Linked DNA regions of Coturnix japonica. The protein of the gene in region 3 interacts with the protein of the main gene of each other region in a pairwise test. Links are inferred from orthologs where the notes say so. Each region holds a gene or a part of one and is shown on either strand. Other genes may lie near its edges.

Region 1 (4,345 bases), on a different chromosome or scaffold from region 3:
CAGTTTAACAGACACACAAAGCTGTAAGCTCAGAGCCATGCAGTCACTGCCTACTGTATTCCTGGAAGGACAGTAATGTGCTCTTAGGGTTGCCCCTTGTTATTCCTCAGTCATAAAGATACGAGCCTTTACCCACCATCAAGCACACTTAGGAAACATTTCAATACTCACTGCTGGATACTGTCATTTAGTAAAGCTTTAAAAGCCTTATTCTTGAGAAAACTGTTGTTAGGAAAGTTACTAAAAGCCCCCAAACCAGACAAACTGTTCCTAACAGAACACAGCCCTCATTAGTTTGCCCAGTGCTTCCATCAACCTGCTCACTGAGGCTGAGCACAATGTTACTGAGAAAGGCTTTTTGTGATGCCTCAAAGCCTAACACCTCTATGCTACAAACATTGGGAGCAAGAAGGACTCACCAAATATTCACTTCAGATTAAGAAGCTGAATATATAAATATATCTAGATTTTTTTAAAGACTGATTTAATAATTAGCTATCTACCCTATGGCAGGTGAGACTGTATCAGCTACTTGGAGGGAAGTCACTTGATCTGTATAATTACCTCAAATTTCATGAAGTCATGATAGAAAGCACATAAAAACCCAATGACAAATCAATTATTGATGCCCTACATTAGGAACAAAAGCAAGAATAATTATGATTAACCATTTAAGCACTTTGCTTTACCTAGGCCATCAGACTACACCCAGCACAGCACTAAGGTGCCTTATAGGACACAGGCACAACTGTCTGCTCACACTGATTTGAGTATTTCATCACCTATCTCCAGAATGCATCTTTTTTCCCCTGACCTTTAAAAGGAAGAAGGGATAATGCCATATTAGCTGCTCATATCCTTTGATTTTAATAGTACAATTATATATTTTAGGTAAGTATACATTTTAAGAACAACAACACTGAAATACTTGACTGCAATTGCAACAACCTGAGTGCCACCTTGTTTGAAAGCCTATCAATTGAAACACATCCATCAGGCTTCAAGGCACTAACTGCATCCAGTTGTGTGCCAGCACTACACTGAAAAGAATGCCAGGTAAGACAGAAATTATTCCTCATTTATTCCAAATTAAATAGGATGACAAACCCTGCACATACTCCAGACCTGATTTCCCCCCCTTCCCCACTTAACACCATGTAGATCTGCCCTGTAGAAGTTCAGTCCCACCACCAACCTAACTGTACCTTCGTAATTCCAGGGCAAGGCTGAGTCAGATTTTAAACAACCACAGAGAACGATGCTCACAGCTACTCACACCATTTATCCATCTATCCACAACGCAGCACCTGCTAAAACACAGCATCACTTTGTCCTTTGGAGAAGTGGAAAAAGAAAAGGCTGCCACAAAGGTCAACCATCACTGCCTGAGAGAAATGTTTACAACAGGCATTTAATACGCAATAAAGATGCATATCAGCACAGGTGGTAATCATTTTAAACACTGAAAAACCATTACGGCTTCATAGGATCCAAAATCCCAAATGAAACATCAATAAAGCCAAAACATTTAATTTCAGTCTTGGCAGCTGATGCAACCTCCAGTAATGGGATCTTTAGGATCTTTACCATCTTTAATGGTACACATCCACCTCTGTGTCAGTCTGAAAGCCCTGAATGACCAACTCCCATCCCCTCTATATGTGTAACACGGGTACAAGCTGGGTAAGAACCTATTGGTGTAGCACATCTTGCCCCTTTTTAAACTTTAAAACAAGAAGAATTGTTCAAAACCAACTGCATTTCCTTCTGCTCCATCCTATTCATTGTTTGTAATGACCTGATCCGGGAAAACTGCATTAGTTACATTAGAGCAGACCAGGTAAGAATTATAAACTATTACCTGCAGTAAAAGTGAACGCTTATTAATGTCGGCAGATGTAAGACATACAGGACCCGACAGCACAAAGTGTGCTACTAGAGTTTCAGGAAAATCCTGGTCTAAATTTACAAAGGGAAGCCTTTAAATAATTTAAGCCGGGGTAGTTTAAATTGGTAACAGGCACAGCCCGCAACGGATCACAGCAAAAGCCCTATTTACTTTTACTTATTCTAGCTCAGTAATCCCATAATACACCCATCGGATTTTCAGTCCCTGTGGTTCCAGCAGCACCGCCGTCCTCTCGCTGAAAAACCACGGCACTGCTGAAAGCCATTTCCCGTTCGTCTCATCAGCACCTACATGACTCGGAGCCGGATGGAAACACGTTAAACCCCATGAAGCTCCTCAAGCGCGAGGTGCCCGCCCTGAGACACAACAAGGAACGAGGCCGGATCAGGGCAGCTCACCCCAAAAATAACCCTCTTTTTCCTCAAATCCTTTAGAAAACCGCTCAGTTCCCTTAACAAACCATCCTGCCCCAACCCCGCCGTGTCTCCCTTTCATTCCTCAGGGCACTCATTGCTCTGTGGGCTGAGGACAAAGCACAGCCCCCCCCACCCCCAGTGCCGGCTCCACACGCGGCCCCGTCCCGACCACCCCATCCCGACCCCCGTCCCCTCCCCTCGCCCCTCACCCTCCAGCAGCCGTTGGATGATGCTGTCGATGTTCAGCTTGTCTATATCCGCCATCGCCTCTCAGCGGCCAGGCGGACCCCTCCCCGCCGCTTCCCTCCCTCCCTCCGCTGGCTGCTCGGCTGACCCGGCTCCTCTCCTCTCTCGTCGTCTCGTCGTGCTCTCCCCGTGTCCTTTCTCCTACCCGCTCTCTTTCTTCCCCCCCGCCCTCCCTCTTTCTCTGCCGCTCTCAGCGCAGCTCCGGCGCGGAACAAAATGGCGGCCGTCTCCTCAGCGAGCTCGGGGGAGCGGATGGATACCACGAGCGCAAGGCGGCGCACGAACCCTTTTATAGGCGGGCGGGAAGCGCGCGGCGGAGCGAAGTGCGCACTGCGGCTGGTGTCGGGATCCTTCCGCCGAAGGGTGGAGAAATAGTGCCCACGAGGGGTGTGTGTTCTGCCCATATAACACCGCCTCCTGGACCCCAAACAAGGCGGACACCACCGAGATCCCACCGCTGTGACCACTGGAGCCTGATCCTGTGGTCCTGGACCCTCACCCCATGGTGCTGTGTCTGCACGCCCCATCGTGGCACCCTCCTGCATGAGGCGAGGCGTTGTGTTGAGTTTCAAGGCACATTCACCACTCAGGACATTCAAGTTGCATCTCTGAATGTTGTTTAATTGCTTCATTAACTCCTGGCCTAGCATCTCCATCCCTCCTCCCCACAGCAGCTGCACACACACCTCACATCGATGGTTACATAACCACCATTGCAGAGAGCAGAGTTCACACTGTGAGGGCACGAAGGATGTGGTTTATTGTACAGCTGCTCATAATCTGGCCATGTATAAAAACATAAGTATTATATACGTAATGCCCACCTACAGTCAGTATTGAAATAAAGAACATTTCATTCACCTGTACATACATATACATAATACCCAAACCACACACATACTGCATGTATAATGTACGTACATACCCTGTGCATACACACATACACATGTATATATATGCAGCTAGTGATGAAAAGCTCCTTATTTAATTCCTGTATGTAGGTGGATCCTAAGAAATGCAAGTTGCCCACGCTTCCCCTTGCTTCACATTACATATTTCCTAGGTCTGTTCAACTCAGTGTGTCTGTGTACATTTCAAAGACCTACACAGACTGTTCAACACTGGGAAAACAAAGGAGGTGTGATGTGAGGGTCAAATGTTGTTTTTCCTATCTAGATGCTCAGTGTTTTCCTAACTCCTGCTGCGTGTGTCTGGATATCAGCCTGCTACAGTCCAGATCAACTTTTGATGTCTGCTTTTTTGCCTCTGGTGTCTGAACTATTTTGCTTACCCCCACATTTCAGACCTTGCAGAGTTTGTGGGTTGTAACAGTCGTTGGTCAGACTGAAGAGCAGATGGACAAAGCCACAAGGCTGATCTGGAGATGTAGGGGTTTGTATTCTGTTTGGAGGGAGGTGATGATGCAGAGTCAGGTGTTTTCTTAGTGTCATGTTTTATTTACAAAACGTGCAGTGTGAGGATCAGCAAAACACACACGCTGCAGGTAGGCAGCTCCCTGGAGCTCAGGGCTTTCTGCACAGCCTGGGCTTTGCTCAGCAGGGACTCAGCCACATGTAGAAGCCCAGAGAAGCCTCATCCCAAGACAAGAGCAGTCGGATGCATTCACAGGGCTCTCTGCACTCCTCATCACCGCTGCACCCTGTGCGTGGGAGCCTTGGTCCCCACTGAGCCAAGCGGTTCCATCTCAGCAGCTGCCTTCTGTCTGAAACCTCCCACCAAAGGAAACTGCCAGCAACAATGACAAGTCCATTGC
Region 2 (4,301 bases), on a different chromosome or scaffold from region 3:
GGCAGTGTCCCCGCTCTGCTTGCTTCCAGCAGCTGTAACTCCCATATCCTATCCATGGGGCTCCCCATTGGCACCCAGCTATCCCAACCCTATCAGGAGGAGCACCCAGACTTGAGCCTCAGCTCAGATCTTCTTTCTGATCCTGTCTAGCATATGTGACAACTGGGAAGATCAGGTTAATCATTTAGTGTGGCAAATGAACCCCAAGAAAGGTCTCCACCTCTACTCCAATCCCAAAGACTCCCAAAGAATACCAACCAGTTGGTTGACTGACCAGCAATATGGAGGAGGTGGCCAAAAGGCAGATCAAAACAGCTGAGCTGTTTGTTGGCCAACTGACAAACTGATTAACCAAACCACCAACCCACTGACCGACTGACCACTCGCTTAACCTCCCACCCAAACCACCCAGCCCACCATCCAACCGACCTCCCATTCTATAGAGCATTGACTCAAGGCTTCTTTGAGCTGGGTTTGAGTTTGGCTGTCATTAATGGGACATTTAGCCAACCAGCTTGGGATAAAAGGGGAAACTACACCCTATGGTCCTCCCATTGACACCAGCAGCCCCATTGCTGACAATAGGGCCCTATTGAGCCAGGACATACCTGTGTGAGATCCCAACTCCAATGGGGAACCCTCAGATCCGTCCTGGCCTCTGAATTCCCTTTGGTGTGCAAGACACCGAGCCTGGCCACCTCCTCCTTTGCGATGCCCTGACCCGAGTGGCAAAGTTTAAACTCCAACAACACATAAACAGTGACCAAGATTGCAAAATCACCCGTGTCCTGATTGGGGCCGCCAATATGCAATGGCAAAGGGAAGGCCCTTGGGTGCTCCGTAACTTATTAGCCAAATGGTTTTGTCCTCCTATGCCGAGCGGGGCAGGAGGGGCCTGGGCTGATGGGCGAAGTCCAGGCTCTGTAAGTGCCCATGAACTTTCCCCCACTTTGGGGGTAATATTTCCCTTTTTCAGCTGAGTGCATCAGCATTAATCACACCCTATAGGCGTTGTGATGTCTGGGGAAGACGTTGACTTGGATTCAACCATATGCTGCTTCTCTATAATATGTGTTAATCCCCACTGATGTTCACGATCCTTATGGGCTCAGCTGTGCCTCAGTTTCCCTATGGATCAATGGGATGAGGGGTTCACTGCCTGCCATATCCCTCTCCCTCCTATGATGATGGTGGGTATCTCACATTGCCTCACCCTCCTATGGTGATGGTGGGTATCTCACATTGCCTCACCCTGCTATGATGATGGTGGGTATCTTATATTGCAGCTGGGGGTTATGGCTTTGGATGGCCATGTCCAGATCCCAGCATAACCCACCCTATAGATCCCTATGGTGCATGACACAGCCAGCCCCCACCTCTCCCTCGTGCCCAGTGAGCTTATGACCACGCTGCGTGCCACGGGTACAAGGCTACAACATCAGGCTTATCTCCTGCACAACGCACTATGTCCAGGAGGGACCTGTAGGATGGAGGGCACCTCCTTCACGCCTCATTTTATGGCCCAACAGCGGAGACGGGAACTCCTTGCACCGAGCAAAGTCCATCCCCTCCTCCCTACCACCACCCTGCCACCACGCTGCGCTCCCGGCGGTCACCACCAGGGGGCGCTGCAGCCCCCACCCCCCTATTGGTTCCGCCCCTTTGACTTGATGCTCCGCCCCGCTCGGCCCGCAGGCGCGGCCCGGCCATGCCGGCCAAGAGGAAGCCGGTGTTACCGGCCCTCACCATCACCCCCAGCCCCATTGAGGGACCAGGGCCTGGAGGATCCGCAGAGTGAGTGAGTGGTGGTGGGGGACCCGTCCGGACCCTGCCGTGTTGGGAGAGTTAAGGGTTGGGGGTGTGTTGGGCCTGGGGGTTGAACGGGGAATGGGGTTGGGATGGGGTTGGGATGGGGTCTGCTTGGATGGGGGCTGTATGGGAAATGGGGCTGGGTATAGAGTGATCTCGTACTCAGTTGGGATGGGATGAAGTGGGGAAGGGCCGGGGGGAGCAGGGCTGGGCAATGGGGGGAGGGGAGGAGGACAGAGCACATGGGGGGTGAAGGAGAGGGGGTCTTTGGGGCTGGGGGGGGGCGAGAGGGAGGGGTGGCGGTCTTGGGACTGTGGGAGGGAGATAAGGAGAAGGGTCGTTGGGGCACTGGGGGGGCACAGGGACGGTGTGGGGGTGCGTTGGGTGAGGGGGAGAGGAGGGGGTGTTGTGTGGCTGGGGAGGGAGAAAGAGAATGGGTTTTGGGGGCTGGGGGGGGAGGAGAGGTGGGTCATATGGGGTCTGGGGAGGGAGGGAAGGAGAGAGGGGTTTTTGGGGGGCTGGGGGGATAAAGGAGGTAGGGGGGGTTCGTTGTGCGGCTTTAGGGAGTGGGGAGAGGAGGGGTGGTCGTTTGGGTTGGGAGGGAGGGAAGGGGGGGTCGTTGGGGCTGGGGAGGGAAAGGAGAGGCGTGAGGGGGTCTTTGGTGCTGCGGGGGGTGAAAGGAGGGTGGGCGGTTCGTTGGGCTGGTGGGTGGGAAGAAAAGGAGGGGGGGTTCGTGGGACGGCTTGGGGGGGGTAGGAAGAGGGGGTCTTTGGGGCTGGGGGGGAGAGGAGGGGGTCGTTGGGGCTGGGGGGAAGGGGGGGTCGTTGGGGCTGGGAGAAGAAGGGATGGGGGGTGGTCGTTGGGGCTGCAGGGAGCCCTTCCTGACCCACTGCCCTGGGTGGGGGTTGGGGCAGCAAATGTTAGAGGATGGTTGGAGTGTGTGTGTGTGGAGCAGGTGTTGGGGAACACAGGATCCCCTTTGTGTTCGGCTGTGGGTAGAGCAGGGGGCTGGTGGGTATGTGGAGAGCTGTTGTGATTCATTGAGAAGGCCAAGCGTGGCTTTCCATGTTAGGAGAGGTTGGCCCTTAACTATAACAGGGGTTTGGGCTGAGTTCGTGTGGGATGGGGCTTCTGTTCCCTTATGAGCCGTGTTTTGCCCCTGCCGACAGAGGACAGGCTTTCTCAGGACCCCCACAGACTGATGCCCCCATCATCTCCTGCAGGGCTAACCTGGTGGACCTACAGAAGAAGCTGGAGGAGCTGGAGTTGGATGAGCAGCAGAAGAAGCGTTTGGAAGCTTTCCTCACTCAGAAAGCTAAAGTGGGAGAGCTGAAGGATGATGACTTTGAGAGGATCTCCGAGCTGGGGGCTGGCAATGGTGGTGTGGTCACCAAAGTGCAACATAAACCTTCGGGGCTCATTATGGCACGGAAGGTAAGGGGGCAGGAGATGCATTGATAGGGAGCAGGGTCCAACCAGGCTGTCTGTACTGCTCCACCTGCATGTAAAGCACCTGAGTTGGCACTAATGTACAGAGCCTTAATTTCTATAAGCTTTCTGGCTGCTCTGCCTGGCTGTGGGCCATCTCCTGGGAGGGGAAGTCTGCATCACAACAGGTCACAGGGTTTTGCAATGCCTGCTGTGAGAACATGAGTTCGTTCTTTTACCAGGAAATGGGGTTTCTGAGGGTGATGGCTAACGAGGGCTCAGTGTTGGCAGCAGGTAGAGAGATGCATGGCTGACCCTGCACGCACCTGAGTTTAGCATGCACACATCCCTTGCTTAATAGTTCCTAGCAGCCTTGTGAACCTGGCCTGACAGCTGTTTCTCTCTGAGGTCGGCTTATGGGAGATGTCTTTTACTGCAGTGTCTTGTAATAGAGAAACAGGAGATGCTTTGTCTGCCTATTAGAAAAGGCAGTGCTCGCTGAAGGCAATACAATTGTTTATATATAGGACAGCTTCCTTGGAAGACCTGCTGTGGGGATGACTTAGTGAGTATCATGAACTAATACGTTTTCCAGGTGGCTTTGCTTGGAGTGGGGCTCTGTGAGTCCTCCACTGGGGCATTATTTTGTAATTAGATGGTTTTGAGATCATTGGGAGTGCTGTGTTCAGAACCTTGCCTGGGTGTCCTAGAGCTTATACTAACAGCAGCTGCTTTCTAACCTGCCATGTTTCCTAGACTTCATGGCTTCCCTTCCACAGCTGTTAGCTGCCTCTGTGTGGAGCCCAAGGAATAAAGCATTTACCCTTTCACGTGCACAAGCATGTGAATGTGTTGGTTGGTTTTTTTCCTTCACTTCATGTAGTTTCCTTGATATAAGAGCAGCTGTTCTCACAACACCTACAAAGCTTGTGAAAATGTCCACGTTGCTGAGTCAGATCTGCAGCCAGCTTCTGACTTTTCCTTTCTATTCCATGTCCTGGGTGATCTCAATGTATTACACAGGCTTGTAGGTGCTGCACTTGCTAACAGGCTGCACAGCTTGA
Region 3 (4,277 bases):
CTATTTGCAAGCCCTACTGGTAACACGGGACAGTCAGTTCCAAAAATAAATTCCCCATCTGATTTGTGCTAAAGCTTTAATCTCATTACTTTTGGACGGTGATAACAGATCAAAGGTATCTATAAGATGGTAAGATTTCAGGCACCGATGTGTTTCGTTGAGCCTATTAAGTTACATAAGAATAATAAAATGCCTGTTCTGAGTGAATAACCTGTCATGGTGATCAACTTAAAGAATTGGTGGCATCAGCTACACAGTGCAGCACCCACAGCAGGGAAAATCCCTGCATGAAGGACTGCAAGTTTCATCAGACAAGAGAAAATGGCTTATTATACTGCTGCCCAGATTTACCTGTCAACATAAAAAACTTAAGTGCTACATAAAACAGTACGATGTTGGCTTAGCAATGTGTCAGAACGAATGGTGTGAATGACCAGACCCTTGCAATCATTCCTATTGATGGCAGCAGGTTCTAAACCAGGCTTGCTTAATCGCATACTGCAGGCAATGCAAAGCACAGAGAAAAAGCCATGCTCAAATGCCAGAGATACAGACGCTGGACCTACACCCAAACACAATTAATAATGCATGTCTCCATTCTCGAGACATTCAAACCACCTATTTGTATACACGGTCAGTATATTGGAAAGAGCATCATACATCTCTTTCATTACCTCGGGGAACATTCAGTGCATTCCTTTTTACCCTTTCCCTTGTATTTCTTCAAGGAAGCAATGCATAGGATCTAAAATCAGCACTTGTGATCAGACACGCTATATGCTGTGCTATCATAATTCTAAATATCCAGAAAACTTGGCAGATGGCAATTTTCCTCCACGGAGACTGTAGCAGGGGTGGCAGGGGAGTGAAGTGCTTCAAGAAGCTCCTACACGCCACGTTCAGTAACTGCACTTACAGGCACGCCCACAATTAACTAAAACAGTATGACTTTTCCTAACTGTGAAGGCAGCCATCCATCAAAACACCAAGCCAATGAGTTCTGAGTCATCTCCTCTCACCCTAAGACTTCATTTAGGATTCCAGTCCACCTCCTCTGACCCAAAACCTAATTAATCTGAGGAATCCCTCAGGGACGGCTCACATTTATTTCCCCATAAGCGAACCCCCTCCGCCTCCTCAGACTGCTCCCGGAGCGGGGCGGGGCGGAGGCCCGGCCCCTCACAGCAGCGTTACTCCGTTGTTAGGCAACGGCCGTGCAACAAGCGGCTCCCGCACAACGCCCCACCGCCCCCACCGGGCACACAGGGCACACAGAGGCCAGGCCAGGCCAGGCCAGGCCCCGTTCCCCCGTTCCCCCGTTCCCCGCTCCCCGCACCGCCTGCCGGGCCCATCCCGTTCCCCGCCGCTCAGCCCCGCGGAAGACAGCGAGGCCGCCCGCTCGCAGCCCGGGGCGGACGCTCGACCTCCGCTCTGCGGAGCCGGGAATGGGGCAAAACGGAGCGAGGCAGCACCGAGCGCTGACCCGCCCGCACCGCCGCTCACCGGCACACACAGCCCCGTCCGCCTCCCGCGCCGGTCGCCACCTCCCCGGAAGCCGGCGGGCGGCTTTCTGCCGTCCCGGAGCTCATTCTCGCTAGCGCCGCCTGTCGCCGCGGAGGACCCGGCCCGGCCGCTTGGCCTCCACCTCCCGGCTTCCCCGGGCCTGCGCGGACCGCAGCAGCTCCCCGTTCCGCCCGGCGAGTCGCGGCCTGGCTCGGGCCGCTGCGGCTGCGGAGGGGTTGGGCGGAGCGGGCGCGGGGCGCGATGGCGGCGGCGAGCGGCTCGTCCGGGAGCGGGATGGCGCAGAAGACGTGGGAGCTGGCCAACAACATGCAGGAGGCGCAGAGCATCGACGAGATCTACAAGTACGACCGCAAGCAGCAGCAGGAGATCCTGGCGGCCAAACCCTGGACTAAGGAGTGAGAGCGGGGCCGTGGGGCGGGCGGGAGAGCGGGCGGCGGGGCCGGGGGTTGAGGCGAGGCGAGGCGAGGAGAGGCCCTGAGCGCTAAATCGGCCTCTGTCCCGCCGCAGCCACCATTACTTCAAGTACTGCAAGATCTCGGCGCTGGCCCTGCTGAAGATGGTGATGCACGCCCGCTCGGGGGGCAACCTGGAGGTGATGGGGCTGATGCTGGGCAAGGTGGACGGGGAGACCATGATCATCATGGACAGCTTCGCTCTGCCGGTGGAGGGCACCGAGACCCGCGTCAACGCGCAGGCGGCCGCCTACGAGTACATGGCCGCCTACATCGAGAACGCCAAGCAGGTATGCTGCGGTGGGGGGGATATGGCGTTGCTCTTAACTTCTTGCTTTTGGAAGTCTTAAGTCTGAAAGTGCAGTAAAATTCTCAATTGCGGAGGGAGGGTGGTCCTCCCTCTCTGCCCCAGTAATGCCACAGCTGAAGTATTCTGTCCAGTTCTGGGCTCCTCCGTTCAAGAAAGACAGGGAGCTTCTGGAGAGAGTCCTGCAGAGCGCCACTAAGATATGAGGGTTCTGGAGCATCTCCTGCATGAGGAAAGGCTGAGAGAGCTGGGACTGTTCAGCCTGGAGAAGGCTGAGGGATCTCATTACTGTTTATAAATATCTAAAGTGTAGGAGTCAAGTGGACACAGCCAGACTCCTTTCAGTGGTATGCAGCAACAGAATAAGAAGCAACAAAACAAATCTGCAACACAGGAAGTTCCATACAAACAGAAGGAAGAACTTTATCATCAGAGTGATGGTGCCCTGGAACAAGCTGCCCAGAGGGGTTGTGGAATCTCCTCTGAAGATATTCAGAACCTGCTTGATGTTTTCCTCTGACCCACTATAGGCAATCTGCTTTTAGCAGAGGGGTTGGGCTAGATGGTTATCCCCAGAAGTCCCTTCCAATCCATACAACTATGTGATTCTGTGAAATATTAATCTGCTCTGTGGCTGATGCAGAAGCTGACATGGCATATGAGCACTTGCTGGCTCAAATAAGCACTGGAATCCCTCAGACTGTCCAAGCTCAAATAGTTTGAGGCCTAGTTTACCCTTTGATTTGTCATTAATCCTTAAAGTATTTTAACTCAGCTGAAATTAGAGGGTCCTTACATAGTGTAGATAAAGGTACAACTATTTAGGTTATTTTGGAGAGGTGTCACAGCTTTCTGTGGGTTTAAGGACATTTAACTAAATTAGGTTGGATCGTGACTTCAGAAGAGAGTAAATACAGCCCAAAGGTAAGGATGTTCTAAGGCCTGTGGTGGGTTTTTTTGTTGTTTTTCGTTAACTTATCACGCTTCTTTATGAGAAAATTTCTAAGTGATCTATTTAACGTATTACTTTAATATATTATTACTTATATTATTATTACTTTAATATATTATTAAAGTAATGATTTATTGTATTCTTACTGAAAAGTATAGAAAATGAAAGGGTGTTTATATCTGAAGATACGTTTGTACTACCCAGTTCTTAGGTAGAAAAATTGTCTTAAGTATAGAGCATGGCATCGGTATTTACATGTACGGTTAGTTCATTTGACTTTTAGAACAGCCCAGGTTTATATGGGAGAATTCATGATACGAAAATAAAGCAAAAACAATAACTCAGCTTTACTGGAGCTCTGACAGTGCGTCCTGGCTGCTTCACATCTGAGGTTGGAAAGCACTTTGTCCTGGAGTAACTCTTTTTAATGTTAGATTACATGTTGATAATAAGAGCACTCTGCATAAGTGCTCTACAGAAGCTAATGTTGCAATTACTTGCTCCTCCATAGGCAGGATCTGATGATAAAATAGTTAAAAGAAAAATGTTATTTGTTTCAACGACTCAAATGTTCAGTTGGGTAGATCGTGTGTTCTGTCCCTCTTAATAGTTTCCAGATTTAACCTTCCTGGTATGCTCAGTATTTGGCAAAACCAAGCAGCTGAATGCATTGAACACACTGCCATGTAGGATGTACATAAATCCTTTCACTCAATATTGATCAGCCAGTACACAGTTCTTGGCCAGTTACAATAAACTAGGTGCGCTGGCTGTTTATTCACCGTGATTAACAATCAATTTTGATTGGTTTTGTTTGTTTGTTTGGGGTACTTGCTGAGATATCCCGGAGTATTATTTGGGAACTTCTTTTATAGTTAAGCAAAATAAAGTGCATGTTGAATATTTCAAGTTAGCATACAGGCTGTGTATATTCTTTTTATCCTCTTGCTGCGTTGTAGTGTGCTGGAAGGCTCAGTAGAGGGCAGCCCATGCTTTACGAATGAGGATCATCACTGGATTTGTTTTCCTTCACTGCTGTTAG

The links.
Region 1: the proteins of COPS5 (region 3) and PPP1CC interact in a two-hybrid assay, tested with the Homo sapiens proteins (2 studies listed by BioGRID and IntAct). The link is inferred for Coturnix japonica from reciprocal best matches to the Homo sapiens genes COPS5 and PPP1CC.
Region 2: the proteins of COPS5 (region 3) and MAP2K2 interact in a two-hybrid assay, tested with the Homo sapiens proteins (2 studies listed by BioGRID and IntAct). The link is inferred for Coturnix japonica from reciprocal best matches to the Homo sapiens genes COPS5 and MAP2K2.

The regions. Positions count from the first base shown.
Region 1 is NC_029530.1:5,191,037-5,195,381, forward strand, and holds the start of PPP1CC (serine/threonine-protein phosphatase PP1-gamma catalytic subunit), read right to left. Parts: upstream 2,830-4,345; 5' UTR 2,590-2,829; coding exon 2,535-2,589; intron 1-2,534. UniProt on the Homo sapiens protein: Protein phosphatase that associates with over 200 regulatory proteins to form highly specific holoenzymes which dephosphorylate hundreds of biological targets.
Region 2 is NC_029543.1:1,719,311-1,723,611, forward strand, and holds the start of MAP2K2 (dual specificity mitogen-activated protein kinase kinase 2), read left to right. Parts: upstream 1-1,472; 5' UTR 1,473-1,487; coding exon 1,488-1,798; intron 1,799-2,978; coding exon 2,979-3,243; intron 3,244-4,301. UniProt on the Homo sapiens protein: Catalyzes the concomitant phosphorylation of a threonine and a tyrosine residue in a Thr-Glu-Tyr sequence located in MAP kinases. Activates the ERK1 and ERK2 MAP kinases.
Region 3 is NC_029517.1:104,436,247-104,440,523, reverse strand, and holds the start of COPS5 (COP9 signalosome complex subunit 5), read left to right. Parts: upstream 1-1,397; 5' UTR 1,398-1,764; coding exon 1,765-1,919; intron 1,920-2,031; coding exon 2,032-2,266; intron 2,267-4,277. UniProt on the Homo sapiens protein: Probable protease subunit of the COP9 signalosome complex (CSN), a complex involved in various cellular and developmental processes.